Macaca mulatta: one gene and its partners. The protein of the gene in region 6 purifies or fractionates together with the protein of the main gene of each other region. This does not show direct contact. Links are inferred from orthologs where the notes say so. Each region holds a gene or a part of one and is shown on either strand. Other genes may lie near its edges. The genes, in order: GAPVD1, FAM110B, FAM83H, FAM83D, VPS13B, CSNK1D and SNX24.

Region 1 (3,500 bases), on a different chromosome or scaffold from region 6:
GAACAGTGCTATTGTGGGCATTGTGTTTTTTTCCCCACATCTTTTAGGCCTATTTTATTTGGATTTGTTCCCAGAAGCAAAAAGCCTGGTTAAAGGATGTGATTCTGCAGGTCATTACATACTGGCATGTTGCTGTTGAGGACGGTTGAGCAATATGCTGATATGGACTTCATTTTTATTATTTTTTCGTACTTGAATATTTGTAAACTTTCTTGTGTCCATAAATAAACATAAGCAGTTTAACTGTAGCTGATATTTTTTTTTCAGACAGGATCTGGCTCTGTCGCCCAGGCTGGAATGCAGTGGTGTGATCTTGGGTCACTGCTGTCACAAGCCCCTGAGCTCAAGCGATTCTCCCACCTCAGCTTCCTGAGTGCTGGGACTACAGGCACACGCCACCACATCTAGCTAATTTTCATTTTTTTTTTTTTGTAGAGATGGAGTTTCGCCATATTTTCCAGGCTGGTCTCGAACTCCTGGGCTCAAGTGATTCTCCCACCTTGGCTTCCCAAAGTGCTGGGATTACAGGTGTGAGCCACTGTGCCCGTCCTGCAGCTAATTTTAATTTAGTTCATAAGAGGGCTGGACAGTTTTTAGGATCTACAAACTGATAATTTTCTTTCTTTCTTTTTTTTTTCCAGACAGAGTCTTGCTCTGTTGGCCAGGCTGGAGTGTAGTGGCACGATCTTGGCTCACTGCATCCTCTACCTTCTGAGTTCAAGCGATTCTCCTGCCTCAGCCTTCCAAGTAGCTGGGATTATAGGTGCCTGCCACCATGCCTGGCTAATTTTTGTATTTTTAGAAGAGATGGGAGTTTTGCCATGTTGACCAGGCTGGTCTCGACCTCCTGGCCTCAAATGATTTGCCTGCCTCAGCCTCCCAAAGTGCTGGCATTACGGGTGTGAGCCACTGCACCCAGCCCCAATACTTTTCATTGATTCTGTTTTGATATGAGGAAATTGTCCTTTGTACTTTTTAGTTTTGTCTTCCTTTACTCATTGAGTTGCTGTTGGTCTAAAAAATTTTAGCAATTCAGAGTGATCTTATTGTTGGGACTATAATCAACTCATATATCCATGTTTGGATATAGCATATGTGTTATTATTAATACTATTATTTTGCTTGTTTGCTCATTTTTTTTTAGTGCTGAAGCTTCCCCTGCTGAATGTTGCCAACATGCCAAAATTTTGGAAGATACACAATTTGTTGATGGGTATAAGCAATTGGGATTTCAGGAGACTGCTTATGGAGAATTCTTGAGTCGATTGAGGGAAAATCCTCGTCTTATTGCCTCCTCTTTGGTTGCTGGAGAGAAACTTAATCAGGAGAACACACAAAGTGTTATTTACACAGTTTTTACGTCCCTGTATGGCAATTGCATCATGCAAGAAGATGAAAGCTACCTCCTTCAGGTTTTGCGATACTTGATTGAATTTGAACTTAAAGAAAGTGACAACCCTAGGCGACTTTTGAGGAGAGGAACTTGTGCCTTCAGCATCTTATTTAAACTTTTTTCTGAAGGACTGTTTTCTGCCAAACTTTTCCTCACAGCCACTTTACATGAGCCAATTATGCAACTCCTTGTTGAAGATGAAGATCACCTGGAAACAGATCCAAACAAGCTAATTGAGAGGTTCTCCCCATCTCAGCAGGAAAAACTCTTTGGAGAGAAGGGCTCAGACAGATTCAGGCAAAAAGTTCAAGAAATGGTGGAGTCCAATGAAGCCAAACTAGTGGCTTTGGTGAACAAATTTATTGGTTATCTCAAACAGAACACATATTGTTTTCCACATAGTTTAAGGTGGATCGTGTCTCAGATGTACAAAACCCTCTCCTGTGTAGATAGGCTGGAAGTGGGGGAGGTCAGGGCAATGTGTACTGATCTCCTGTTGGCCTGCTTCATTTGTCCTGCAGTTGTCAATCCAGAACAGTATGGAATAATTTCTGATGCTCCTATTAATGAGGTAGCACGATTTAATCTGATGCAGGTATGCTTTTGCTATTATTATTAATGTGACATTTAGTTTAAAATCAGTTGATTGGGCTGTGGGGGTGGGAACAAATAATATGACGACAATATTTGTATAATCTTACGACATTTTCTCAACCAGCTCTAAGTATTTGCATCTTATTAAATAAAAGCAGTAATACTGGGATTTAAAACTATGGTGGTCACAAAACATTTTGTCTTTGTCTATTTTTTGAGGCGGAGTCTTATTCTGTCACCCAGGCTGTAGTGCAGTGGTGCATTCTCAGCTCACTGCAACCTCCGCCTCCCAGGTTCAAGCAATTCTCCTGCCTCAGCCTCCTGAGTAGCTGGGATTACAGGCATGTACCACCACTTCTGGCTAATTTTTGTATTTTTGGTAGAGAGGGGGTTTCACCATGTTAGTCAGGCTGGTCTCAAACTCCTGACCTTGTGATCTGCCTGCCTCGGCCTCCCAAAGTCCTGGGATTACAGGCATGAGCCACTGCACCCGGCTGTGTTTGTTTTTAAATGGAATCCTCACGCACTTGAATGTAGAGTTGATTAGATTTTCTAGAATAAGTCCACCATCCCTTTTCTATAATTTCAGAACCCAAAATGAACAAAAACTGAATGTCTTCTATACCTTATTTGGTAGCAAAACCTGTGCTGAAGTAACATGAGGCTATTCACAATTTTTTTTTTTTTTCACTTTTCTTTTTTGAGATGAAGTTTCACTCTTGTTGCCCAGGCTGGAGTGCAATGATGCGATCTTGGCTCACTGCTACCTCCGCCTCCTGGGTTCAAGCGATTCTCCTGCCTCAGCTTCCTGAGTAGCTGAGATTACAGGGGAACGCCACCATGCCCAGCTATATTTATAATTGTTATTCCATTTAGTGCTAGTGAATACTCATATTTTGTTGCAGAAATGTTGATTCATTTGATTACAAAATGCCATCTGTATATTGAACATGTTGTGTATATACACTGCATTACCTTTCTAAAATCTCTGAATTCTGAAATCTGAAACTCTTCTAAGAGTTTCGGAAAGAGGGTTTTTGGATGTATATTTTTTTTGCAATCATCTGAACGACTGAAGTCATGTTATTATTTCTTCATGGACTCTTTTCATCACACCTTATCCCTCAGATATAGTGTGAAGAACTGGTGTTTATTTAGAATAGACTATTTTTGGGTGATTTTTATTTTTTATTTTATTATTATTATTATTATTTGGAGACGGAGTCTGGCTCTGTTGCCGAGGCTGGAGTGCAGTGGCGTGATCTCGGCTCACTGCAACCTCTGCCTCCTGGCTTCAGGTGACTCTCCTGCCTCAGCCTCCTGAAAAGCTGGGATTATAGGTGCGTGCCACCATGCCTGGCAAATTTTTTGTATTTTTAGTAGAGACGGGGTTTCACCGTGTTAGCACCGGGATGGTCTTGATCTCCTGACCTCGTGATCCGCCTACCTCAGCCTCCCAAAGTGCTGGGATTACAGGTGTGAGCCACTACGCCCAGCCGTTTTATTATTTTTT
Region 2 (3,473 bases), on a different chromosome or scaffold from region 6:
GCCGCGAAGGGGCGGGGCGGGGGCGCTGCGGGGTTTCTCTGTTGCTAGAGCCGTGATGTCACCCGCCCTTCCTAACCCGCGGTTGGTTGTTTTGTGTTTCAGCTCTGCCTGCAGTTGAACACAAAGACCTGGAGGAGACTCCCACCTCTTCAGGGAGAAGAAAGGAGGCAGCGAAGCAGATTAAAGGAACTTGTGGCTTGTGGCCTTTTTGTGCAAGGGCTGCCTGAAAGGGGAGAAAAGTGTATGAAAGCCACCGTGGCGGTTAATGAGCTGTGAGATGAGGCGCTGCTGCGGCCGCTGCTGCTGACACTCGCTCCCAGGCTGCACCCGCTGCCCTTGGCGCTTCATGTACATGTGTCTATTCAGGCCGTGCGGAGGCGTCCAGAAGAGCATCCAACACGGCTGCCGGGGAAAGACCGCCCACCATGCCCACGGAGACCCTACAGACAGGTAGCATGGTGAAGCCGGTCAGCCCCGCGGGCACCTTCACCTCTGCCGTGCCCCTACGTATCCTGAACAAGGGGCCAGACTACTTCCGCAGGCAGGCCGAGCCCAACCCCAAGAGGCTCAGCGCCGTGGAGAGGCTGGAGGCCGACAAGGCCAAGTACGTCAAGAGCCAGGAGGTGATCAACGCCAAGCAGGAGCCCGTAAAGCCCGCCGTGCTGGCCAAGCCCCCGGTGTGCCCGGCTGCCAAGCGCGCGCTGGGCAGCCCCACGCTCAAAGTATTTGGCAACCACGCCAAGACCGAGAGTGGCGTGCAGAGGGAGAACCTCAAGCTGGAGATCCTGAAGAATATCATCAATAGCTCCGAGGGCTCCAGCTCGGGCTCGGGGCACAAGCACAGCTCCCGCAACTGGCCACCCCACCGGTCGGAAACCACCGACCTGCACCGTCACTCCTTCGCGGAGTCCCTGAAAGTCTATCCCACGCAGGGCCGCGGCAGCCCGCAGGAGGGCGGCTCCCACGTGAGCAGGAGACTGCTGGAGCAGTCAGCCGAGTCCTTCCTCCACGTGTCCCACAGCTCTTCGGACATCCGCAAGGTGACCAGCGTGAAGCCCCTCAAGGCCATCCCCTGCAGTAGCTCTGCCCCTCCCCTGCCTCCCAAGCCCAAAATCGCAGCCATCGCCACCATGAAGTCCCCCGAGGCCGACCCTGTGGAACCAGCTTGTGGAGTCAGCCGAAGACCCTCCCTCCAGCGGTCTAAGTCAGACTTGAGTGACAGATATTTCCGAGTGGACGCGGACGTAGAGAGGTTCTTCAACTACTGTGGACTGGACCCGGAAGAGCTGGAAAACCTGGGAATGGAAAACTTTGCAAGGGCTAATTCTGACATAATATCCCTCAACTTCCGCAGCGCAAGCATGATCAGCTCAGACTGTGAACAGTCTCAGGACAGTAACAGTGACCTTAGAAATGATGACAGTGCCAATGACCGTGTGCCGTATGGCATTTCTGCCATCGAAAGAAATGCCAGAATCATCAAGTGGTTATATAGCATCAAACAAGCTAGAGAGTCACAGAAGGTCTCCCACGTGTAAGACAGTGCGTGGAAAGGAGGGAGGGTGGGTCTCTGTGCTTACGCAGTTGTAAAGGTTGTGAGGTCTCCTTGAAGTGTTGTGAGCTTCTCCACTCTTTGTGTTGCTTGTTGTGCAATGTTTTCAAGTTGCATGCCTGTCAACATGGGGACTGACCTGGCTTCCACGTCACCATCGCTGCAGAGCCTGGCCTAACACGCGTCATCTGCCAAAAGTTTCAGGCCAGAATCTAATTAGGGCTTTGCTCTTAAGCAAAACTGTTTACATGAAAATGGTATACGACTTCTTCAATATTTATGTGGTTCTTGTGTTTTTATATCCCGCGCTATTATGTCTTAATTAAAAGTTTTATCAACTGGCTTTTAAGTTGAGAGCAGAATCTTTTTGAAATAAAAAGCCACTTTGCCTACATGTGAGACTATTCCAATGGGACAGTAAATGGGATCTGCTACCAAACAGATAGTGACTGACCACACATAGAACCAGGCTGGGTTTTCTGTGGAATAAAGTGGTGAGCCTGACGTTAATCGTTTACATGTTGAAATTCTCTTGCCACTTAGTGAAGTGTCGCTGGGGTAACAATGCTAAGTTTTGTGTCCAATTCAGTGTGTAAATGTTGGTGGTTCTGTGTAATGCTGACCCCAAGGAAAGACAATCAGATAAAATGAAGGATGGTTAAATCTAGGAGGTTGGGTGTTTGGGGGTTTTGTTGATGTTGTTCTGATTTGGGATATTTCAGAAATTTTTAATACTATCTTTTGACAGAATGGCCACCCTAAAACAAATACTGAATGCCTTTAAAAAAAAAAAAAAAAGTTGTGTTTGTTTGTTTTTGTCGAGAACTACTAATTTCATGCTGTTTCTTTCTTTCTCCCTTTGTTGTTATTTGATTTGAGGGAAGGGAGTGAGGCTTGTGCAGGTTTGAGCTATCAGAAGACATGAACAGAAGTGAAAATACCAGCCATATCAGTAGAGCCTCCCATTCAAAAGTGAACACACTTGGTAGCTGAACCATATCTGAGCAGCGTGATTCTGTTGTCTTGCATATGTTACTCTCTCAGGCTGTGGGTCTCTGTTACAGCTCTAGGAAACTGTAGAATTTCAATGCTATGTAGCTTTTCCACCCCATGGTCTCTAGTGCTGCCTATCAACTTGTCCCCTTTTTTTCCCAATAACCTGGCTTTCAGGTGGTACAGTTAGCTGTCACTCAGCTGACTCTATGATGTGGCAGCAGAGAGGGAAACCTACAAGTGGTTTGCCTCATTGCCTTTGCCACATCTGAAGTTCTCAGCAGCGCTACCTTAGACTTCATCAGCTAATAGGAAACTTTTTATGGTGTAAATGCTGTAAGACTTTGTACATACTTCAGTTGTTATGAAATCTTTAAAGAAAAAAAAGAAAAAGTTACACTAATAAATTGCTCTGGTGCAGGCACTAATGGTGGTGGTTTCTCTTTGTCCTTCTGTATTCTCCTTCCACAAAAGTTTGACTTTGGACTATGAATCAGAAGCAGATTTTTGATAGTCTTGAAGAAACATTATTTCATTAAGTTATATTCACCACATTCCAATTACTCCAAACACCAGTGTTCTTAATTGTGGCTCTAGCAATGTGCTTTTGCTAAAATGGTTACATCAGGGTTCCTAAAATGTGCTGCAGCATCTCAATTCACACTTGTGTTATTTTTGTCTTTTCTTAAACATCAGGATTTTTTTGCATCTTCCACATGACTCTTCAGTTGTAAATATTTATGCGTTCTCACCTTGGAGGCATACCTTCGAAATGTATGGCTTTGTTTTTATTTGTACCATCCCAACATCCGTACCTTGGCATGTTTTCACACACTGGCTCCTCCACTCCTTCCTTCATTCCTCTTGAAAATGTCACTTGTTGAGTGAGTGACTCCTTCCAGGTATCATGGTAGGCACAGGACTTTCA
Region 3 (4,093 bases), on a different chromosome or scaffold from region 6:
GGTACCAGTGGGGTGTCACTGAGTGTCTGGGGAAAGAACAAATGAAACTGGGAGTGACCCTGAAAACAGAAAATAGGATCACATGGCAAGAGGGACAAACAGAAAGGTGACTGATACCATCAGAAAGCGTTCAGGCAGGGCCAGTCCTTGGGGTGGGAGTGGCAGGGGTGAAGGGTGGTGGTTTGGACAGGTAATCCAGTGCAGGGCAGGGCCTAAGTGGGGGGAGAGGCCCTAAGTGAGGGCCTGAGGGGGATTTGGGGGTTCTGGAGCACCCAGGGGCAGCTCGGGGTAGTGTGTGGGGTTGCTGTGTTCATGCGGGGGCGTCTGGTATGTGAGGCTTGGTGTGCACACTGGGTCCCTTGTCCGTGTTGGGGCTTGGTTTTCGCGGGGTCCCCGAGTGTACACCCAGGGTTCTATATGTGTGAGGGAGGTCCCCTGGTCTCTCAGAGTCAGTGTGAATATGGCATCCCTGTTTGTGTGTGGGATCGGTGTCTGAGGGCTCTCATATGCAGGTGGGGTTCCCTACGTGTGCGGACGTCAGCGTGTTTGTGGGTGACTGAAGTGGATAGGACTGGGTGTTCTTGTTGGGTTCTGTCTTCCTGAGGAGTCTCCTGTGCTTGGGGGGTTGGTGCACACGAGGGACAGGTCATTCGGGGTCCGCATGTGCATTGGGGGTCACTGCAGCAGAGTCCCCTACAAGTGTGGGCATGGATGTGAAGGGATGAGGGAGAAAGATGGGGAACCCCAGGTACTTGTGGGCATCAGTGTGTGTGTGTGGTGGGGGTCGGGGCCTGGGGGTCCTCTGTTGGGCGGGATCCCCTCTACGTGTGGGACGCTGGTGCGGTGGGAGACCGGTGTGTGGTGAATGGATCCCCTGTGCTTTCGGGGCTCCCAGACCCGGCCCCGCCCGGGGCTCGACGCCGCCCCAGCGCCCTCACCTGCCGCACCTGCCTTCACCAACTCGGCGAGGAGGTCAGAGCTCCGCCCCTTGCGTCGGGCTGGCTTGTTTCCTAGCGACTGAGCCGGAACTTCCGAGTCACCCCAACTTCCGGGGCGAGGGTCAGGGGTCAGGCTAGGAACTTTGAGCCTGGGGTCAACAGTTGGGCTCCTGGGGGTCGAGGCCTTTGAAGTGGGGGCCTCACGGTCTCCGGCGGCGCTGGGCCGGGGTTTCTGGGCACGTGGCCGCAGGGCACGGGCGAGTCGGGGCGGAGGGTCGGGGCGCGGGCCGGGGGCGCGGTCCGGGGCGGGCGGCGGGGCCGCGGCGGGCGCGGGGCGCAGGAATGCGGGCGCGCCGCGGGTGGGGCCGCTCCGCCCCCAGGTGCTGCCCGGGCAGGCAGGAGGCAGGAGCGACGGGCGGGGCGGGGGCGGGCGCGTGAATCAGGCCGGGCGGGCCGCGGCAGGGAGTGGCTGCCGGACCGACCGGACCGCGAGGCCGCTGGGCGGCGGTCGGCTCCTGCTGCCCCTGTGCCGAGACCCCGCGCACCTGGCCAGGTAGGGCCCCCCTCCCCCGGCCCGGGCGGGGCGAGGCGGGGGCGGGCGCCCCTCGGTGCGGTCCCACCTGGGCTACCCTCGCGCCCGCACCTGGGCCGGGGCCGCGCGACCCAGAGAGGGGAGGTGGGAGTGGAGCGCGGCCGCGTGCGCGGGGCCGGGGCGGCGGGTCAGCTCGGACAGGGGGCGCCGCTGTGCGGATATGGACGCGAGCGCCCTCGCACGACGGCAGCCCGAGAAGAGCCGAGTGGGAAGCGGCCCGGGATCTGGGTCGAGCCTGCCTGGCCGTCCCGACTCGCTGCTGCCCTCGCGGCCTAGCTGGAGTCTGGGTGCTGGGCACGGCCTGGACCCTTCCCTGGGGACGCCCGCCCGGGCCACCGTGGACTGGGGTGGCCAGGGTGCGGCCTGGATCCCCGCCTGGCAAGCAGGGCGAGTGACGGGAGGGCTGCCCGTAGCGCCCATGTTCCAGGGCTGGGGTGGGTGGATGGGGCACCCAGCCGCCGCAGCCGCGAGCTCGCAGGGTGCACTGACCCCGTTGGGGGCTGGGGTGCCCACCCCGCAAGCTATCACTGAGCGACTTCCGGTCTGTGAGCCCTGTCCTCCGCACCCCACCTTTCCGCCTCCTAGAGCCTCCGCGCCCTCCTGGGCCCATCGGAACTTGGCACAGGCTCACCCCACTTTGTGTAGGAACTCCGGATCCTTCCATGGGGTCCTCCTTCCAGATACTCAGGAACCCCACTTCCTGCCAGGGTGGAGAGGATGGGGTCCTTGAAGGCCAGCTGAGGGCCCTGACTTCGAGTCAGAGGTCAGGGGTCAGCAGCAGAAGAGTGGATTCGTGCTGAGTCATTGGCCATGGGTGGGTTCCGTGCCCTACCTCCCTTGGGCAAGCGTTTGGTAGGCAAATGTGTGGGCATGCAGGCCACTGGGGTGCTCCATCTCAGGCTTGGGAGTGTCTGCGGCCCCGTCCATAGCCCAGCAGACACGTACCCATGAAAGGACACGATGTGAGGAATGAAGCCATTGGAGGTCTGGGCATCACCCTGTGATGATGAGGGGTGTCTGCTGGGAGGGCTCCTGGCAACGGGGGATTCCACAGTCCAGATGATCCCTGCCCCCATTACACACAGCCTGGAGCCTGGATGCTGTGTGGATATCCCTCCCCTGTGAAATCCTAAGGGACAGTGGGGGTCCTTTCTAGAGTGTCCCCCAGCGTCGGGAAGTGCCCTCAAACAAGGTTAGCAGGGTTGTTCCCCCTGCCCTGTATGGTCAGACACCGCCCCTACAGCCAGGCTGGCAGTGGTGAGTGGGCGCCCCGGCCCAGCCAGACAGGCCTACACCTCACCCCCATGTGGTTGGCCTCGATCTGCCCTAACGAGCCCCATATGTCAACCATGAGGACAATGCCCCAACAAAGAAATGTTGGGACAGCTTCTCCCAGGCCAGTTGGCATCTGGGGCTGTTGAGTGGCACCAGGTATTTCCCATGTCCCAACTCCATGTCACCCCCGGGGGTACCAGGCAGGACGGCGGCCTCCTGACCCCAACATTCTCAGCCTAGTGGCTCCGGTTAGCACCCGTGCAGTCCAGCTGGCCAGCGCCCATCCTGTCAGTGCCCCAGGGCACACTCCTCTGTCTGGGCTGAACCACCTTCCCAGCCAGGGCCAACATTCGGGAACCTGTGTGCTAGGCGGGGATAGGTGTCCTGCCTCCCTCCCCAACCCGAGGAGCAGTGGGATGGGCTGAGCGGTCCCTAGGGCTCTCCTTCCAGGGAGAGGTACCCAGGTAGCTCGGTGACCCCAGGCGTGGGCCCTGGGTGCGCCCCATCTGACCTTTCTGGAGAGGCCAGGCACCCTGCAGGGACCCTTTGGAGAACAGATTGGGCTGTGGGGCAGCCAAGTATGGATGATGGTGGGGAGCCCAGGACCTGGAAAGGTCCCTGCTGCCCTGGACGGGGGGCTGGTGGCAACAGGACTCTGAGCAAGTGGAGAGCCAGATCTGGGCGATATGGAGTGCAGGCCCTGCAGGGCCCTGTGGGCACCAAGGGGTTGTGGTCCAGGGAGGTGTTATCTGAGAAGGACAGTGACAAGAAAGGTCAAGGGAAGGAGGGGGACTGGTAGACAGAGACAGAGTCTAGGGGTCAGTGTTGCAAGGCTGGGCAGTCATAGAATGGGCTGTGGGAACCCAATTGTGAAACCCTGGGGATGGGGAGGAGGTGTCGCCCGGGGCTATGCGTAGGGCTTAGGGTTGCCATTCCAGGAGGAGGGTGGTCACAGCCCTGTTTGCTGCGCTCACCTTGGCTAGGCACGGTGTCTTGTGGACCCTCAGCTGTGTTGTGCAGTAGAGGTAGGCCAGAGAGGTGCAGTGACCTACCCACGGTTTCCCAGGCAGTCAGGGACAGACACATGCCAGCATGGGTGGCACCAGCTTATCCAGTAGGCACAGTGCCAGGGGCCTGTGAATGTCTTAAGAAAAAAGTGAATACTATAATGATGAATACAGCCTGGATTATGTTTGTCTTTAAGCCAACAGTCATAAAATGTTTTGGGGGGCGGTTGGTTTTATTTTCATTTTTTGTAGCGATGCAGTCTCTATCACCCAGGCAGGAG
Region 4 (4,147 bases), on a different chromosome or scaffold from region 6:
TTTTTGTAGAGACAGGATCTCACTATGTTGCCCAGGCTGGTCTCAAACTCCTGGGCTCAAGTGATCCTCTTCCCTTGGCCTCCCACAGTGCTGGGATTACAGGTGCAAGTCACCATGGCCAGCCACATCTGAGATTTTATGCTGCAAAAGTAAGAAGAGAGATGGGGAGCTTTAGAGGAATGTAGAGTCAAAAGAGGGTTGTTTTAAGACGAAAAATATTTCAGCATGCGTGTAGGTTGATAGAAATGAATCAGTAAAGAGGGAAGCTGATGTTCCAGGAGAAAGAAGAAGGTTGCTGGAGTGATGCTGGTGAGTAGTAGAGGGGCTGGAAGTGCCCAGGCAGAGGGGTTGGGGTTGGATGGGCACAGGCGCAGTTCATCAATGCCCAGTATATGGGCAGCGATGGAGACAGGAAGGTAGACTAGATGGGCGCACGTGGACGTTCCCTTCTCACTGCTTCTGTGTTCTCGGTGACATAGGAGGCAAGCTGTCAGAGAGGAAAAGGTAGAGAGAATGAGGGAAATGTGGCCTACCAGGCAGTTTTTTTGTTTTGTTTTGTTTTGTTTTGTTTTTGATGGAGTTTCGCTCTTGTCGCCCAGGCTGGAGTGCAGTGGTGTGATCTGGACTCACTGCAACCTCCTCTCCCCGCATTCAAGTGATTCTCCTGCCTCAGCCTCCCGAGCATCTGGGATTACAGGCGTACATCAAGATGCCCGGCTAATTTTCGTATTTTTAGTAGAGACGGGGTTTCACCGTGTTGGTCAGGCTGGTCTCAAACTCCTGACTTCAGGTGATCCGCCCTCCTAGGCCTCCTAAAATGCTGGGACTACAGGCGTGAGCCACTGCGCGCCCGGCCTCCTAGCAGGTAGTCTTACAGATTATGAATGTAAAACATGACCAGTCAGTAAGCATGGTTATGCTCTTTTTGTTTTTTTCTCCAGCCCTGTAGGGCTGCCGGGGTGCAGGTGCAAAGTAGGATACAACCAGGGTTGGTTGGAGTTTTACAAGGCAAAAACTGATGAAATGAGAGAAGACTACCCGAGGGTGTAAGCAAAGGAGCGGTCCTAATATGATGAGCCGGTATTTTTTTAATGAATGAATACGTGGTTAAAGGCAGGGGATAAAGACGATATGTTTGGCCATACCAAAGCTCTGAGAGCCTAGGAGCAGCGTGGCCAACGTGTCTGGGAGCCGGCACCTGCCTCTCCTCACTGCCTAGGCCTGACTGTCCCTGGCCTTGTAGGGCCGCACTGGGGGGCGGCCGGCAGGGGGCGCCCTGGGATGGCCAGGAGCCCGGCTCTCCCCGCTCTGTCCCTGCTCTGCGGCCCGCCTCGCCCCTGCAAGTTTAAATTCGGCTTAGCAACCCCAGCATCGCAGCCAATAACGCATGAGGGGGCGGAACCGTAGAGGCTTGCGCCCCGCCTCGCTCCGCTATTGGAAGGAATGCAGCCAATGGGAGAGTCGAGGCGGGGAGGTGCGGCCAATGGCGCGGGCCTGTTTGATTCAAAGGTTGCCTATAAAGTGGGCCTGCAGGCTGGTTCTTGTCCGAGGGCTGTCGCGTCCGAGTGCCGCTATGGCTCTGCTGTGCGAGGGCCTGGACGAACTGCCGGCTGCCTGCCTGTCTCCGTGCGGGCCGCCCAACCCGGCCGAGCTGTTCAGCGAGTCACGGCGCCTGGCTCTGGAGGAGCTGGTGGCCGGCGGCCCCGAAGCCTTCGCGGCCTTCCTGCGACGCGAGCGCCTGGCTCGCTTCCTGAACCCCGATGAGGTGCACGCCATCCTGCGCGCGGCGGAGAGGCCAGGAGAGGAGGGCGCGGCGGCGGCGGCCGAGGACTCGTTCGGCTCCTCGCATGACTGCTCGTCTGGCACCTACTTCCCCGAGCAGTCGGACCTGGAGCCGCCGCTGCTGGAGCTCGGCTGGCCCGCCTTCTACCAGGGCGCCTACCGCGGCGCCACGCGCGTCGAGGCCCACTTCCAGCCCCGCGGCACGGGCGAGGGCGGCCCCTACGGCTGCAAGGACGCTCTGCGCCAGCAGCTCCGCTCGGCGCGAGAGGTGAGCGGCCCTCCCGGGCTCTGGGTCGCACGGGAGACCCCCTTCAAGAATGGGAAATTGAGGCCTGCGGGGAGCACAGGCCGGGGCGACTACCTCCTCAGCTCCCTACCGGAAGCGCGGGCCACGGGGTCCCGGGGTCCCCGACTCACACCCCACTCTGCGTGTCTTCCCCGGATCCCCCGGGCCGCTCCTGGTGGCAGGGGATAGTGGGGAAGCCTCGGTTCCCAAGGATAAGAATTGTGTCCGGGTTCCATCTCCTAACGTTCATATCCCTGAAGGAGGGACCAGAAGTACTCCCAGCTCCAAATTTCAGTTGAAATCAAACTTGGAAAATTGCCGATTTCCCTGGCTGTCAGCCAACGCTACATCCCACTTTCAGGAGCTTCTTAGGAGACTCATTACCAAAGAACTTACCTAGGGAAAGTTCCAGGAAGGTGGTCTCCAGAGACAACTACGGGGCATTAGGAATCAATTATTATTGCTAATTACTTTCACGCATCTTATGTTGTAAAAAGCAGATAAACACAAGTGGCAAAGTGAGACCCCTGCCGCTTTTTCTTTCTTGTCTTTTTTTTTTTTTTTTCTTTGAGACAGAGTCTCACTCTTTTGCCCAGGCTGGAGTGAAGTGGTGGGAACTCAGTTCACCGCAACCTCCGTCCCCGGGTTCAAGTGATTCTCCTGCCTCAGCCTCCCAAGTAGCTCGGATTACAGGCGCCTGCCACCACTCCCGGCTAGTTTTTGTATTTTTAGTAGAGACAGGGTTTCGCCATGTTGGCCAAGCTGGTCTCGAACTCCTGACCTCAGGTGATCCACCCTCCTCGGCCTCCCAAAGTGCTAGGATTAAGGCGTGAGCCACTGCGCCCGGCCCCCTGCCGCTTTTTCTACTGCCAGAGACTGGAGGGGAAATTTGCCGTTGTGAATGAAAGGGGCAAGGAGTTTTCCATAGGCTGGGTCTGTGCCAGATTGCAGTGGTCTCCTAAAATGCAGATACATTTGCATTAGATCGGCTTCTGTTTTGGTCCTACTGTCTGACTCAGTATGGCATGGTCATGGGCGCAGTGGAGGTCTTGTCTGCTTGCCAGCCTCAATGAAGCTGCAGCAGGGTGTTGGGGATCAAGGAGGAAGAAGGCAGCCTGCATGTGGGTGTGGCAGAACAGTATGGTGGCAGACACCTTGGTCTGGAACCATGGTCAGGTTGCTTGCTGACTGGCAGTGCCCGGCTTCCTGGCTGTCTGCCTGTGCCAGGGACATGGCAGATAAAGCCCCAGCCATGGTAAGACTTGCGAGGGCTGGTACATGAGTGTGTCTGACTGTGGGTGAAGATACCAGTGCATTGTCAGGTTGACATGTCCAAGTCCAAGCCCCAATTCTCACCAATGTTCTTAATATTCTTTCCCTGAATGGTGGGGTTGCAGTGGTAGTGGATACAGTGACCTAGTGCCTTGCTTTTGAGGGAGTGGTTGTGGGCTGCAGCTAGGCTTTTACCAGCCCTGAGGTGCTTTAGGTGGGCTGAGGGTTTTTTGATGCAGTAGACATTTTCCTTGCGGGTTCAGTGAGAAGATTAAAAAGATGGAAAAGGCAGACTTGTGTAGGTATGCGTTCCCAAAGCTCACCTCCAGTAGAACTTGAGCACTTGGAACCTGAAAAATGTAAAGAACTGGTCTATATAGTGAGAGCTGTGGATTGTTCTAGTCTTTTGCCCATCTCAAAATTTTAGTGATAGCAAAGGGGCACTGGAACCAGAGGCCAGAGGGAAATTAAACTCACGTGCTGGCCTGAGGAGGGGATGGAGCCGGGAGCTCAGACTCTCCCTCATCCCATGGGCGTTTTGTAATACTGACATTTCCAGATAGAACCTGCTGCCCTAGTCTAGCTACCCACAGTTCCCTCTGAGATGCTATATTTGGAACGTGGGCAGTTTAAACTGAGAAAGTTACCTTTAAATCCGATGAGTATTGGCTGGATACGGTGGTCAAGCCTGTAATCCCAGCACTTGGGGAGGCTGAGGTGGACGGATCACGAGGTCAGCAGTTCGAGACCAGTCTGGCCAACATGGTGAAACCCCATCTCTACTAAAAATACAAAAATTAGCAGGGC
Region 5 (3,500 bases), on a different chromosome or scaffold from region 6:
ACATCCATACTGTATGTTAATAGCTCCTGGCTTGCTCTCAAGCTAATGGGCCACACTTCCAGGGAGCCCAGGAGTAGCCATTGTTGGCACTGGCATCTCAGGCAGCACAAGAGCACTGTAGAGGGACAGGAAGGGGCTGCCACTGCCAGGTTTGGGGCTAGCTGCACAACTCCTCTGCTCCATACCTAACCACTCAAGGAAAGTCATACATTGGCAGAGAAGCCCAGTCTTGCTAGAGGGCCTGAGATTCCCTGTGGAATGGCCACTCGAATTAGAGGTGCTATTTCTAATGGAGAGAAAAGGAGCTAAGCAAAACCAAGGGAAATCTTTATTCCCAGGAGGAAGCAGGTTCTGTTAACCAGAATCAGTGTTTGAGAACTGACAATTACATTTCAAGCTAAAATGAGTAATTGGATTGGTGAGGGCCCTTTGCCCTTGGGGAGGCCGCCCCATTGGTAAATAATGAGTGCTGATAAGTGACCATCTTTTCAAAGCTGGCCCCTGGCCTCACTTTTCTCCTTTTAAACAGGAAAATGCTTCAGTCTCTGGGCAGACCAGAAGTCCACATGGCCCTGGACGTGGTTTTGGTGAGGGGCTCAGGCCAGGAGCATGAAGGGTGCTTGCTGCTGACATCAGAAGTGCTCTTCGTGGTGAGTGTCAGCGAGGACACACAGCAGCAGGCTTTCCCCGTCACAGAAATCGACTGTGCACAGGACAGCAAGCAGAACAGCCTACTCACAGTGCAGCTGAAGCAGCCAAGAGTGGCCTGTGATGTGGAGGTACGTTTCAGAAAACAGGGCAAACAAGACTAGCTGGCAGGGAGGTTGGAGTGGCTGCTGGAGACCAAGGAGAGCTGCTACCCAGAGAGGGAGTGTGGAGGCCAGAGGGCCACTGCAAAAGGGCACTGGGAAGCCCCCATCCAGATATGCACGAGCCCTGTACAGGAGAGCCCAGCAGGCGGCTAGCAGGACTCAAGGTCTGGGGCTAAGTCACCATGTCAGCTGAACAAGGCTGATCTGGCTTGGCCGTCATGGGGCTGGGGTGCTCGATGGACAGGACAATGGAGTTACAAAATGAGTGGGTCGGTACAGGAAGGGCCAGGATTGGGGCAGCAATTCCCAGCAACTGCTCCACAAAGGAGGCCCCCTTGTCTGAAAGCCTGAAGTCAGGTCCTTGGCTGCCTGAGGACCCCAGTTGGCTGCAGGGTGCTGGAGGTCTGTGGGTGCTGGAGAGGACCACTGCAGGAGCAAGGGGCATCATGAAAAAAGACTCTCCACTCCCTCCCCTACCCCCAAACCTGGTGACTTCAAGGGTCAACATTTTGTGAGGTGGTCTCTCTCTCTCACATCCACTGCTTTGTATTCTGTGGCTGTGTTCTTTCCCACAGGATGGTTTCCCACCCCATAAGTACCACAGAATCCCCCCCTGGGGATGATACTTAAGGCTCTTGGGGCAGCTCCATGGCTGGCTCCTGGCCTGCATAATGTGGAACAGATGCGCAGGCAAGGCATACTGGGTGTCAGGAGTCAGAGCTGAGCCCCGACCAGAAAGACCCCAGCTTCCTGTAGTCCAGCCCAGGGTAAACAGGTGCACCCACTGGAAAACTGCTCTGTGCTCTTCCTCCTTGGGTGATGGCCTGACCCATAAGACCCTAATTATTTACATAAGAAACAGCCATCTTTTTCCACACAGCAAGATGGTAGTGGATCAGTGGCAAACTGGAGTCTGCTGGTCCTAACCTGGGGACTGAGTGGCCCCAGCAAAGCACAGCAAACCTGCCCCCAGTAGGTTCTGCCTGATCCTCCTTTCATTATTCTCTTCCTGCGATGGGGGCATGTATCTCCGTCACACCACTGTTTGGGTAAAATTATCTGAGAAGATGGAAAGCAGCCAACCACAACAACTCTAAGATTTCTCTAGTTTCTTGGATCATGATCATAGTCAGGCTTTAAGCTAGGGTTTGGCACCAGGACTACATTGCTCCTTCAAGTTGATGACTTTCTGGGAATAAACAGAGGTCAGATGTCCAGGCTGACTTTATTAGATCTGCCAAGATCTTCTATCAGTTGACAATAAAGCAGCGGTGATTTGGCAAGGGATAATATCATTACAATTAAGTCTTTAGTCCTTAATGAGAAACTTCCAAGGCCCTGTGACTATCATTATTCCTTAGCTGCTTGGGAAATATTTCAGATCTTAAACTCTTGAGACTGGAGATTCTTTTGCTGTTGAACTGTCTTCAACTGTGATCCTTCTCTTGTATTTTTGTTTGAGGCAGGTACTGTGGAGAATCATCATAGGCTGGAAGGAAACAGACCTCAGTTTCCCTAGGGGTTGAGATAGTATCTGGAGTCACCACTCCTAAAAGTTGCCAAGATTATTGGGACTGTGGAATGAGGAAGCAGCACTGAAGCTCTGGATACCATTTTCAACACTGATTTTCCATTGCTGTCCAGGGCTGAAAGAGGGTTGGGATTAAGAAATGCCTAAAACAGAGGTGGGAAGACATGACTGAGAGCAGGAGCACTGTGCCTGCACAGCCAAGGCCAGGCACTGGCTGGAAAGTGGATGGGCCAATGCGCCTTCAGCCTCCACATTCTGCTTTCTCTATTCCACTTTCTGTCTCATTAATATTCCTATTAATGACTTAACGGGAATAACTGCTGCCGTAATCCTGTGTCTGTAACCCCAACCTCTCCTACTCACCCCCAAGAAAACTCAAGCTGCAGAGCATCTTCGAGACTAAACCCTCCCAACTGCTGTAATCCGGAGTATTTTCAACATGAGTGGGTGGGGGAGGGTGGCCAGCAGTGCTGTCTTGTCAGGGAGCTTTCTTGAGCTGTCTTTTAGTGCATCCCAACATAATCCACAGACATAAGGAAGCCTGTCTGCTGTGAACACTTCCAGTGAAGACTAAAAGCAGTATTTTAAGATCTTCTATAAATGACTTTTCTGGTTTTTAGCTTTTGCCTTAGATGCTAGGAAACACAGTTCCTTTGAGTTTTGGAAGGAATTAATTTGTAGATGACATCATGCAGTACATTTAAATATGGCAGGATTGAGATTTTTTTTTAAACTCAGCATTTGCTTTTCTTGGTTAAATGCAACCAGTTTAGGGGTAATAATTGCTTAATATGCTTGGCACATTATTGAAATCCCTTATGAGAGGCTCAAAATGAGTCAGAAGGTCAATTTATTCCTTGGCTGGGTTCCTTTCACAACACGGGTTTTCCTGTGCTGCTGTTCAGGAGGAGCAATTAAAACTTTTTGTGTATTCAAAGCTTTCCAGCTGAATTCTGGCCCCATCAAATGATATCAGAGCTCTGGCTTTTGCCTGGTGGTGCAGAGCTTTCATCTGTTAGTGAATCTTTGGGGACCGTTTTTCCCCAAGCTTAAAAACACAAGATCCAAACTCTAAGGGACTCCTTACTTATTTCTCTAGCAAGCCCCTTTACTATCTCTGTGCCATCACACGGACTTTCTCCAGCTGTTAAGACACT
Region 6 (4,153 bases):
CTAGAAATGTTGGGGCCATCAGAGCCCAGGAGGACCAGCTGAGGGAGGAGCAGCTGACAGGTGGGCAGGTGCCCCTGGTCAGGGAGAGCAGGACTCCCCAGGAAGAAGGATCACAGTCACCGCGGGAGAACTGGGCTCTGTTCATCAACAGAAAAGCCATGAGCGATCCTGCCAATAAGGTCAGTTCTACTAGTCTGGCAGCCCCCACCCCAGGCTCCTGTAACTCAGAAACTGGGCAGTTCCGACTGCCTGTGCCTCATTAGTGACTGACGGTGGTCTGGCCAGTGGCATCTCCTGTCTCCAGGCCCTGCTGTGTAACTTCAGGAATGGATACCTGCCTCCCCCACCCGACCTCCAGCTGTTTGGAGCTGAGGGGTGGAGAGGAAGGACTTGGGGGTGGAGAAAGGCGGGCACCACTGCGGGGCCTGCGGGGGCTGCTTTCCTCTTCTGCAGTGACCTGGACGGGCTGAGGCTGTTGTCTCACTCACGCTGTGGTGCCCACACCAGAGCCCTGGTATGCTACTGCCTCAAAACACACATTCACCTGTTTCACGTTCTTGAGTTTCAGCGAGGATGTGACAGGTCTCAACATACATGGACGTGGGACCATGGGTACGGGTTCTTCAAGGTCCCCATGCACCGCAGCCCAGGGGGCTTGTCTGAAGGGCTTTCTTCCCAGCGATGGGAATCAAAGGCCCCAATCTTTGAAGCTGGCCATCAGCCTGAACGTCCACTCCTTGTTTTCTTTTGCAAGGAGGAACATTCAGAACCAACACAGATAAGAATGTTGACTCGGTCTCCAGGCCGCAGGGACTGGCGGGAGGCAGGTGGTCTGGCCTCGTATTGTGAAAGGTGGTGGCTTTGCCCTTGACCTCCAAGCTGGACATCAGGACCTCCGAAGGCGTGGGCCCGCCCTGTCTCTGGCCTTAGGTGTCAGGAGGTAAGGCTGCAGACGCTGACGTCCTGGGATGCCCCAAGCCCGGGAACTGGTAGCCCAGTGAGGGGGTCTCCCCTGTGTCCCCTGAGCCTGGCCTGTCATTCTGTCCAGGCCTCAGCTACCTGTCCCCTCCTGCAAAAGGCACCGCCTGTCGCGAGGAACTCATCTGGCTTCCTCGACATCTCGGGGGACACACGAAAAGCCCCCGCGAGAGCAGCGGGAGACTGCAGGTGGAAGGGGCTGGCGGCCCGAGGTCCAGGGGTAACGGGACGGTGCGGGGCAGAAGGGCTTGGCCCTGCGCAGAGTTGGGAGGAGGCCTGGAGCGCTCGCCCCGCCCGGCCCCGCCCCCGAGGGCCAGGCCCCGCCCCCGGAGCGCCGCGGCCCCGCCCCACCGGGTTGCTAGGGGAAGTGACGTCACAGCGCGATGGCGGCGGCTCCTTTAGGCAGCTGAAGGGGGATTTAGGCCCGGAAGATCCGAGTCCATCCGCGGCGGGGAGAGGGCAAGCGGGGTCGGCAGGGGCCGGAGCAGCGGCGGCGGCGCTCGGACTGTCCCATCCGCCCCGTATTGAGGCGCTGGGAGCGGCGGGGTGACAGGAAAGCGATGGTGAAAGCGGGGCCGTGAGGGGGGCGGAGCCGGCAGCCGGACCCGCAGTAGCGGCAGCAGCGGCGCCGCCTCCCGGAGTTCAGACCCAGGAAGCGGCCGGGAGGGCAGGAGCGAACCGGGCCGCCGCCGCCGCCGCCATGGAGCTGAGAGTCGGGAACAGGTACCGGCTGGGCCGGAAGATCGGCAGCGGCTCCTTCGGAGACATCTATCTCGGTGAGGCCCCGCCGCCCCCGCCCGCCGTTCGAGGACCCGGGCCCAGAGGCTGCCAAGACCAATCGCGACCGCGGAAGGAAGTGGCGGCCCCCGCGGGGTCTGCGTGCAAGTCGGGGCGCCGCCGGGTCGTGGCCAGAACCCAACGGCCACTAGGCGAGCGCGGCCAGGGGTGGGGAGGGCAGTGGGGAGCGGACGTGGGGGAGGGGCAGGGCCAGGTCGGGGGAGCAGGGTCTGGAGGGAGGAGGGGACAGGGGAGCTGACCCGGGGTGGGGCATGGGCTCGGGGGCGCTGACCCGGGTAGGGGCAGGGTCGTGGGGAGCGGACCCGGGAAGGGCTGGGTGGGGCGTGGGGAGGCGGGCCTGGGGGAGGGGCGCCTGGGGGAGGGGCAGGGCGGGGGTGGGGGCAGCGGGCCGCGGGCGGGGAGGGGGCAAGGCCGGGGCGGCGGAGCGGGCGTCGGCTTCCTCCACGCCTAAGGTCACCGCAGTAAACAAAGGCCACGGTCTTTCTTCCGCAGCCCGGTCCGGGGCTGTCTGGTTCCCCCCACAGAGGCTGCCCCTGCGTCTTGCACGCGTGGGGGAAAATGTCAGAAAGACCCAAATGCCTTGTGGGAGTGGGGGAGTGGCCCGGCTAGGAGCGGAGCTTGCCCTCCGCCTCGCAGCCGCCCTGATGACTGACCGCTGGGGGTTCTCTCTCGCCTGTGCCCCTTGGCCTTGGAGCGGTGACTGAGTGCAGATGAGCAAGGGTTAAGTTTAGGTGACGGTAGAGAAAGTCACCCAGGGTTAAGATGCTGGCGAAGTGAGAGGCAGATGAAGTAGTTGTACTCATGAGCTGTCCTTTAGACTATAACAGTCTCACGGTAGATTTCAAAAAACATGGGATTAGAACGTTCTGGGGTGTGTCATATTTACAATGGAAAAATATGCACATGAACACAAGTGTAATGAAAGGTTGGCTTAAATCTTCAAGTTTGTAATTTTTTTTTTTTTTTCCTTTTTTGAAACGGAGTTTCGCTCTTGTTGCCCAGGTTGGAGGGCAATGGCGCGATCTCGGCCTCCCAGGTTCAAGCGATTCTCCTGCCTCAGCCTCCCTAGTAGCTGAGATTACAGGCATGCGCTACCACGCCGGGCTAATTTTGTATATTTAGTAGAGACGGGGTTTCTTCATGTTGGTCAGGCTGGTCTCCAACGCCCGCCCGATCTCAAGTGATCCGCCCACTTCGGCCTCCCAAAGTGCTGGGAAGCCACTGCGCCTGGCGGAAGTTTGTAATTTTAAAGTAACAATTTTCTGCACTTGTCAGTGGGATTGTGCAGTGCGCGAGTTATTCCAAGACCCCTTGCATTTGAGGATATGTAGCCTGAGGCGGTGTGCCTGCAGAGGGGCTGCTGCAGACCTTTGAGGGGAGCTGTTTTCTGTTCCAGCAGCCCTAGCTTTTGGGGCATTTGTCAGCCAGGGTCAGGAATCCCATGGGATGTCAGTAATGCCTCTGGTCATACCTTTTAGATGAACCCACATGTGGACAGTACCCAGTTCTCACTCCCTTCCCATTTTTCACCAGAGAGAGAACTCAGGACCCGGTGGGCTGACAGCGTTAGGCTGAATCCATACATATGGGTGGCTCATACTTCGGGTGCCTGGTTAATCTGCCGGGTAACCCCGTCATATGCCATGTTGTTGCTTTTGAACCTGTACATATGCCTTAGTGGCCTGCTGAGTAAGCAGGCCTTAGACATTTGGGTTTGACTGTTTAAACATTTATACCAGGTGGTCAGCTGGATGTGTTCTTGGCAGTGTTTTGGAAGTCAGGGTGCTTGGTAAATGGAAGTCGTTTGGCTTATTTATAGAACAGTAGATTTTGGCGAAAGTTTTAATCCCAGGATCTGAGTTACACTGCAAAGCCAGTCCATTAACCACCTTTAGGCAGGCATCAAAGAGAAGTATTTTGGGCCAGGCGTGGTGGCTCACGCCTGTAATCCCAGCACTTTGGGAGGCCAAGGTGAGCGGATCACTTGAGGTCAGGAGTTCGAGACCAGCCTGGCCAAAGTGGCGAAACTCTGTCTCTACTAAAAATACAAAAATTGGCCAGGCGTGGTGGTGGCTGCCTGTAATTCCAGCTACTTGGGAGGCTGAGGCACGAGAATCACTTGAACCTGGGAGGCGGAGGTTACAGTGAGCCAAGATCATACCACTGCACTCCAGCCTGGGTGATAGAGTGAGACTCTGTCTAAAAAAAAAAAAAGAAAGAAGTACTTTGAAACTATTTGTTCTCTTCTCTGAGACCTTGTCAAACAACTTTTGTGCTTTCCAAAGATAGAGTCAGACAAATTTTGGTGTGGTTGTCACCAAGTGATTCCAGAGGTGGAGGGTGGAAGGCTGTCTCCTCACTCAGCGTTCTACCCTCC
Region 7 (3,500 bases), on a different chromosome or scaffold from region 6:
TTAACAGTATTATTGATGTTCCCAGGTTTTGAAATATTCACTCTGGATTAGAATCTCCATGAAGGCAGGAACCATTTCTACTTGGCTCCCCACTGTCTTGTCCCCTAGTCAGCATCTAGTGTATAGTAGGTGCTCTATAAATGCCAGTTGAATGAAAGAACAGATAAACTGCAGTATTTGCCAGCACTCCCTAGCATGTGTGTCAGCCTGAATTCCTGGTGGGCAAAACAGAGACCACTCCTCATCTTGACTGTGAGGAATGTTGCTGGTAAGAACTTTGATGGACGGTTATGCCTTTTTGAAATAGTTCATTTGATTGATTGCCTAGCAAACTTCACTTCAGTTTCTAATTCTGTTTTCTGCTTTCACAGGCTGTCATTTTAGAAAATGAAGAACTTCCCAAACTGTTTCTTGATTTCCTAAATGTGCGACACTTGCCCTCTCTACCAAAGGCAGAAAGTTGTGGGTAAGAATCATGTTTGCATATTGGATGTATATTTTAAATTACTCTTCAATGACCGATTGATCTAACAAATAGCCCAGAGTGATGCCTGAGTAGCCTGCCGGCCACGCCCACTCTTTTGGCTTGCTACAGCACTCGCTCGCTGCCTGCTTTTGGTCAAAAGAATTCCTCTGAAGTCGTCATACCCATCTTGTGGCCAAATGGCCATGGTTCAGTAACCCATGTTTAGACTCAAGGAATCAATCTTTTCAATTATGCTGTTACATAGAATGATGTTACTTGATAGGAATTATGAATCTAGATAACATGTTATGGACTCATTAGTGGAAACTCAAGCAAAGTTCATATCCTGGTGGTACACATATTCATATAATTTTAAAGTTATGAATGACCTTAGAGATGATTTGATCCAACTCCTCTCATTTTGTAGTTGAGCAAACAGAGACACAGGAATTTAGTGTCTTTTCCAAGATCTCTTGCCTTGTAGCTTGCAGAACCGAGGCCTTCCAAGGCGAGCCCTCTTCCTCTACTGTCCAGCTGTCTCTCTCAGGAACTTCCAGTGGCAGAACTACAAATCCTAATCCCTATCTATTGGTCTAAACCCATTGGTCCTAAACCCAGGGACCCAGAGGTTTGATATCATTAGCAATTGGGAAAAGCTCTCCCAAAGAATTAACTCTGAAACAAGCCACTTGCCCAGCAACAGGTACATGACGTGGGCTGAGCTAGCCTCAGAAGACCTTCAGAAACATCCATGGCATACTGTATCCATTTACAGGGAAGCAAATCATCACAAACTCTCAAAATCCATGCAGGAGAGAGGTGTACCCATATTCTCGCTGCTTCCAGACCTGCCTGAAGGAACCACACTTAAAACTACAAGAAGATCAAGCAGACCACACCCAAAAGCATGTTAAACCCCAGCCATCCACTGGATGACGGGGCTGCAAACACCTGTCACAGCTCTTCATGAGCACTGTTTACTCAGGGCCACTTTCCACTTATTGCAGAGCAAAAATTATACACTACACTTGGCAAATAATGAAATAATGTGCTGTCAGTGTGTTCTGTTCCAACTTGTATGTGTTTACAGGGAGGTTGGGCTTCGTATATGTTTATGTATTTTTTAGAATAGACATTAGCAATGGTATTGAGTGAAATGTTTTCTCCATTATACAAGCTCAAAAGTAGTAATAAAATCTGAGGATTTTTAAGTAATTATCAGGAAAATTGAAATCAAAGAATATTCCAGTCTTCAGATTCCTTAGGATGGGGCATAGCCATGCTGTGGCTCAGTGGAAACTCACAACTCTTCTTAAAAATATCTCCCAATTCAGTCATCTAAAACTATTGGGTATTTTTTCCTTTGTTGGCATAAACATTGACTCAACGTACGCGGTTTTTTTGTTTGTTTGTTTGTTTCCTTTTTCAAAACTTTTAGATCTTTTGATGAAACAGAGTCTGAAGAATCAAGGTAAGGACTAATCCTCATCAGCCGGGAATAGGATTGTGGTTTTGCTAAATGTTTAATCACCCATGATATGTTTCAAGTTATGTTTTTCTTAAAAACCTTTGTTTGAAAATTGGTTTTAAGATTATAAATATTTGATAGGGAAATACAGGAGTAACCAGTTAGAATTAAGAGTGGAGGAATAAGAGCCCTACATTGTTTCATGCAAGTAATCAGAATGTTTTATCAACAATCGTATTACAAGATTTTTAGGAAAGCACGTTTCAGCAATGACTTATTGTATAGATTGTATATCTGCTTCAAATTCCACAAAGAAATGTTTAGAAGATGAGAGCAGTGCCCATTTGTTTGCTCTCACTCTGTGTGCTATTATTCACCCACACTGTTAGAACATAAACCTTGAGACGTCCCCACACAGCAGTTTGATCCCCTCAAAGCTAGTTTGTAGTGTTTTCTGTTTACCATCGTCCCCTGATGCTGACATGCCTGTTCTTGACCTTTCCAGCAAACTGTCCCACCAGCCTGTGCTGCTGTTCCTCAGGGATCCATACGTCTTGCCTGCAGCCAGCGGTAATCAAACCTGTCATCTGCTAACAGCTCTTTACTGATCTGACCCTGTACCACATAAACCACGTTTTTAATACAGGTCTAACAGAGTGACATTGGTCCAGGGCTTAATAATCTGCCAATAAACCAGTGCTCTTGGTGTAAGAGACATTTAGAATTTTAATTGAGGCCAGCCTTTCAGGAGGAAATGTAATTTTTCTTTCTCTCTTACCAGACTATTTTGAATTAGAGTAATAAGGCAGAAAGGTATTTATGGTCCTTAATTTTTCCGATCATGTCATTTTGGCCTCTGCTTGTTTTTGTCCAGATGCCAGGGTTCAAATTCAAGGATCTAGTCCTTTTTAAAAATGCCTCTTCCGAAAAATCTATGTATATATACATTGCAGGCATATCTCCATTTCTATTTAGATTACAGCATCTTTGATGGCCAACTGTATATTTTTGAAAGTTGCATATTTTAAATACAATTAATTGATTTAAGTATAATTGTAATCAATATTTTCGACTGAGTCTTTTCTCTGTGCAAAGAAATTTAAATTCATCAGAGTCCCTCTCAAAGTATTCTGTTATGCATCTCTTTATGAGTTCATTTGCATACATTATCTCACTTAATTTCCTTAACAACCTTGTGAACTAAGCAGGGCTGATATTATCATTGGCTAAATGGGAAAATTGGGGTCCAGGGAAGATGGTTGATGGGTGGACCTCTTGTTGCCTATGTATTCCTTCTGTGCTCTTTGCACATAGTGAATCTTGTTTCTGGGAGTCACTAAATAGTAATAGATAAATGATCCATTGAAACCCTTCCTATTTCTGACAATAAAACCTTATGAGCAGGAGAAAGGGAACTGCTCTCTCTAGCAAGGATGCACATACTCAGATCACCCACTTAGCTGTCAGTTTGAAGAAAAGTAGCCAGGACGCAGTCCTACTCCTCCCTAAGAAGGGTTGAGGGACCCTTCCTAGTAGCACCCTGATCAGAGTGAACTGCCTTTGCTG

Evidence for each region.
Region 1: the proteins of CSNK1D (region 6) and GAPVD1 purify together in Homo sapiens (affinity purification with mass spectrometry; 5 studies listed by BioGRID and IntAct, counting the BioPlex papers as one, with this or other methods). This does not show direct contact. The link is inferred for Macaca mulatta from reciprocal best matches to the Homo sapiens genes CSNK1D and GAPVD1.
Region 2: the proteins of CSNK1D (region 6) and FAM110B purify together in Homo sapiens (affinity purification with mass spectrometry; 3 studies listed by BioGRID and IntAct, counting the BioPlex papers as one, with this or other methods). This does not show direct contact. The link is inferred for Macaca mulatta from reciprocal best matches to the Homo sapiens genes CSNK1D and FAM110B.
Region 3: the proteins of CSNK1D (region 6) and FAM83H purify together in Homo sapiens (co-immunoprecipitation; 5 studies listed by BioGRID and IntAct, counting the BioPlex papers as one, with this or other methods). This does not show direct contact. The link is inferred for Macaca mulatta from reciprocal best matches to the Homo sapiens genes CSNK1D and FAM83H.
Region 4: the proteins of CSNK1D (region 6) and FAM83D purify together in Homo sapiens (affinity purification with mass spectrometry; 4 studies listed by BioGRID and IntAct, counting the BioPlex papers as one, with this or other methods). This does not show direct contact. The link is inferred for Macaca mulatta from reciprocal best matches to the Homo sapiens genes CSNK1D and FAM83D.
Region 5: the proteins of CSNK1D (region 6) and VPS13B purify together in Homo sapiens (affinity purification with mass spectrometry; 3 studies listed by BioGRID and IntAct, counting the BioPlex papers as one, with this or other methods). This does not show direct contact. The link is inferred for Macaca mulatta from reciprocal best matches to the Homo sapiens genes CSNK1D and VPS13B.
Region 7: the proteins of CSNK1D (region 6) and SNX24 purify together in Homo sapiens (affinity purification with mass spectrometry; 3 studies listed by BioGRID and IntAct, counting the BioPlex papers as one, with this or other methods). This does not show direct contact. The link is inferred for Macaca mulatta from reciprocal best matches to the Homo sapiens genes CSNK1D and SNX24.

What each region holds. Positions count from the first base shown.
Region 1 is NC_133420.1:22,459,494-22,462,993, reverse strand, and holds part of GAPVD1 (GTPase-activating protein and VPS9 domain-containing protein 1), read left to right. Parts: intron 1-1,144; coding exon 1,145-1,988; intron 1,989-3,500. UniProt on the Homo sapiens protein: Acts both as a GTPase-activating protein (GAP) and a guanine nucleotide exchange factor (GEF), and participates in various processes such as endocytosis, insulin receptor internalization or LC2A4/GLUT4 trafficking.
Region 2 is NC_133413.1:68,832,377-68,835,849, forward strand, and holds the end of FAM110B (protein FAM110B), read left to right. Parts: intron 1-102; 5' UTR 103-425; coding exon 426-1,538; 3' UTR 1,539-2,973; downstream 2,974-3,473. UniProt on the Homo sapiens protein: May be involved in tumor progression.
Region 3 is NC_133413.1:154,097,724-154,101,816, reverse strand, and holds the start of FAM83H (protein FAM83H), read left to right. Parts: upstream 1-1,293; 5' UTR 1,294-1,491; intron 1,492-2,203; exon of another isoform or gene 2,204-2,344; intron 2,345-4,093. UniProt on the Homo sapiens protein: May play a major role in the structural organization and calcification of developing enamel. May play a role in keratin cytoskeleton disassembly by recruiting CSNK1A1 to keratin filaments. Thereby, it may regulate epithelial cell migration.
Region 4 is NC_133415.1:91,796,915-91,801,061, forward strand, and holds the start of FAM83D (protein FAM83D), read left to right. Parts: upstream 1-1,347; 5' UTR 1,348-1,387; coding exon 1,388-2,050; intron 2,051-4,147.
Region 5 is NC_133413.1:110,223,669-110,227,168, forward strand, and holds part of VPS13B (intermembrane lipid transfer protein VPS13B), read left to right. Parts: intron 1-529; coding exon 530-779; intron 780-3,500. UniProt on the Homo sapiens protein: Mediates the transfer of lipids between membranes at organelle contact sites. Binds phosphatidylinositol 3-phosphate. Functions as a tethering factor in the slow endocytic recycling pathway, to assist traffic between early and recycling endosomes.
Region 6 is NC_133421.1:91,982,589-91,986,741, reverse strand, and holds the start of CSNK1D (casein kinase I), read left to right. Parts: upstream 1-1,353; 5' UTR 1,354-1,678; coding exon 1,679-1,754; exon of another isoform or gene 1,755-1,780; intron 1,781-4,153. UniProt on the Homo sapiens protein: Essential serine/threonine-protein kinase that regulates diverse cellular growth and survival processes including Wnt signaling, DNA repair and circadian rhythms. It can phosphorylate a large number of proteins.
Region 7 is NC_133411.1:131,973,238-131,976,737, forward strand, and holds part of SNX24 (sorting nexin-24), read left to right. Parts: intron 1-371; coding exon 372-466; intron 467-1,241; coding exon of another isoform or gene 1,242-1,380; exon of another isoform or gene 1,381-1,512; intron 1,513-1,904; coding exon 1,905-1,937; intron 1,938-2,439; coding exon 2,440-2,504; intron 2,505-3,500. UniProt on the Homo sapiens protein: May be involved in several stages of intracellular trafficking.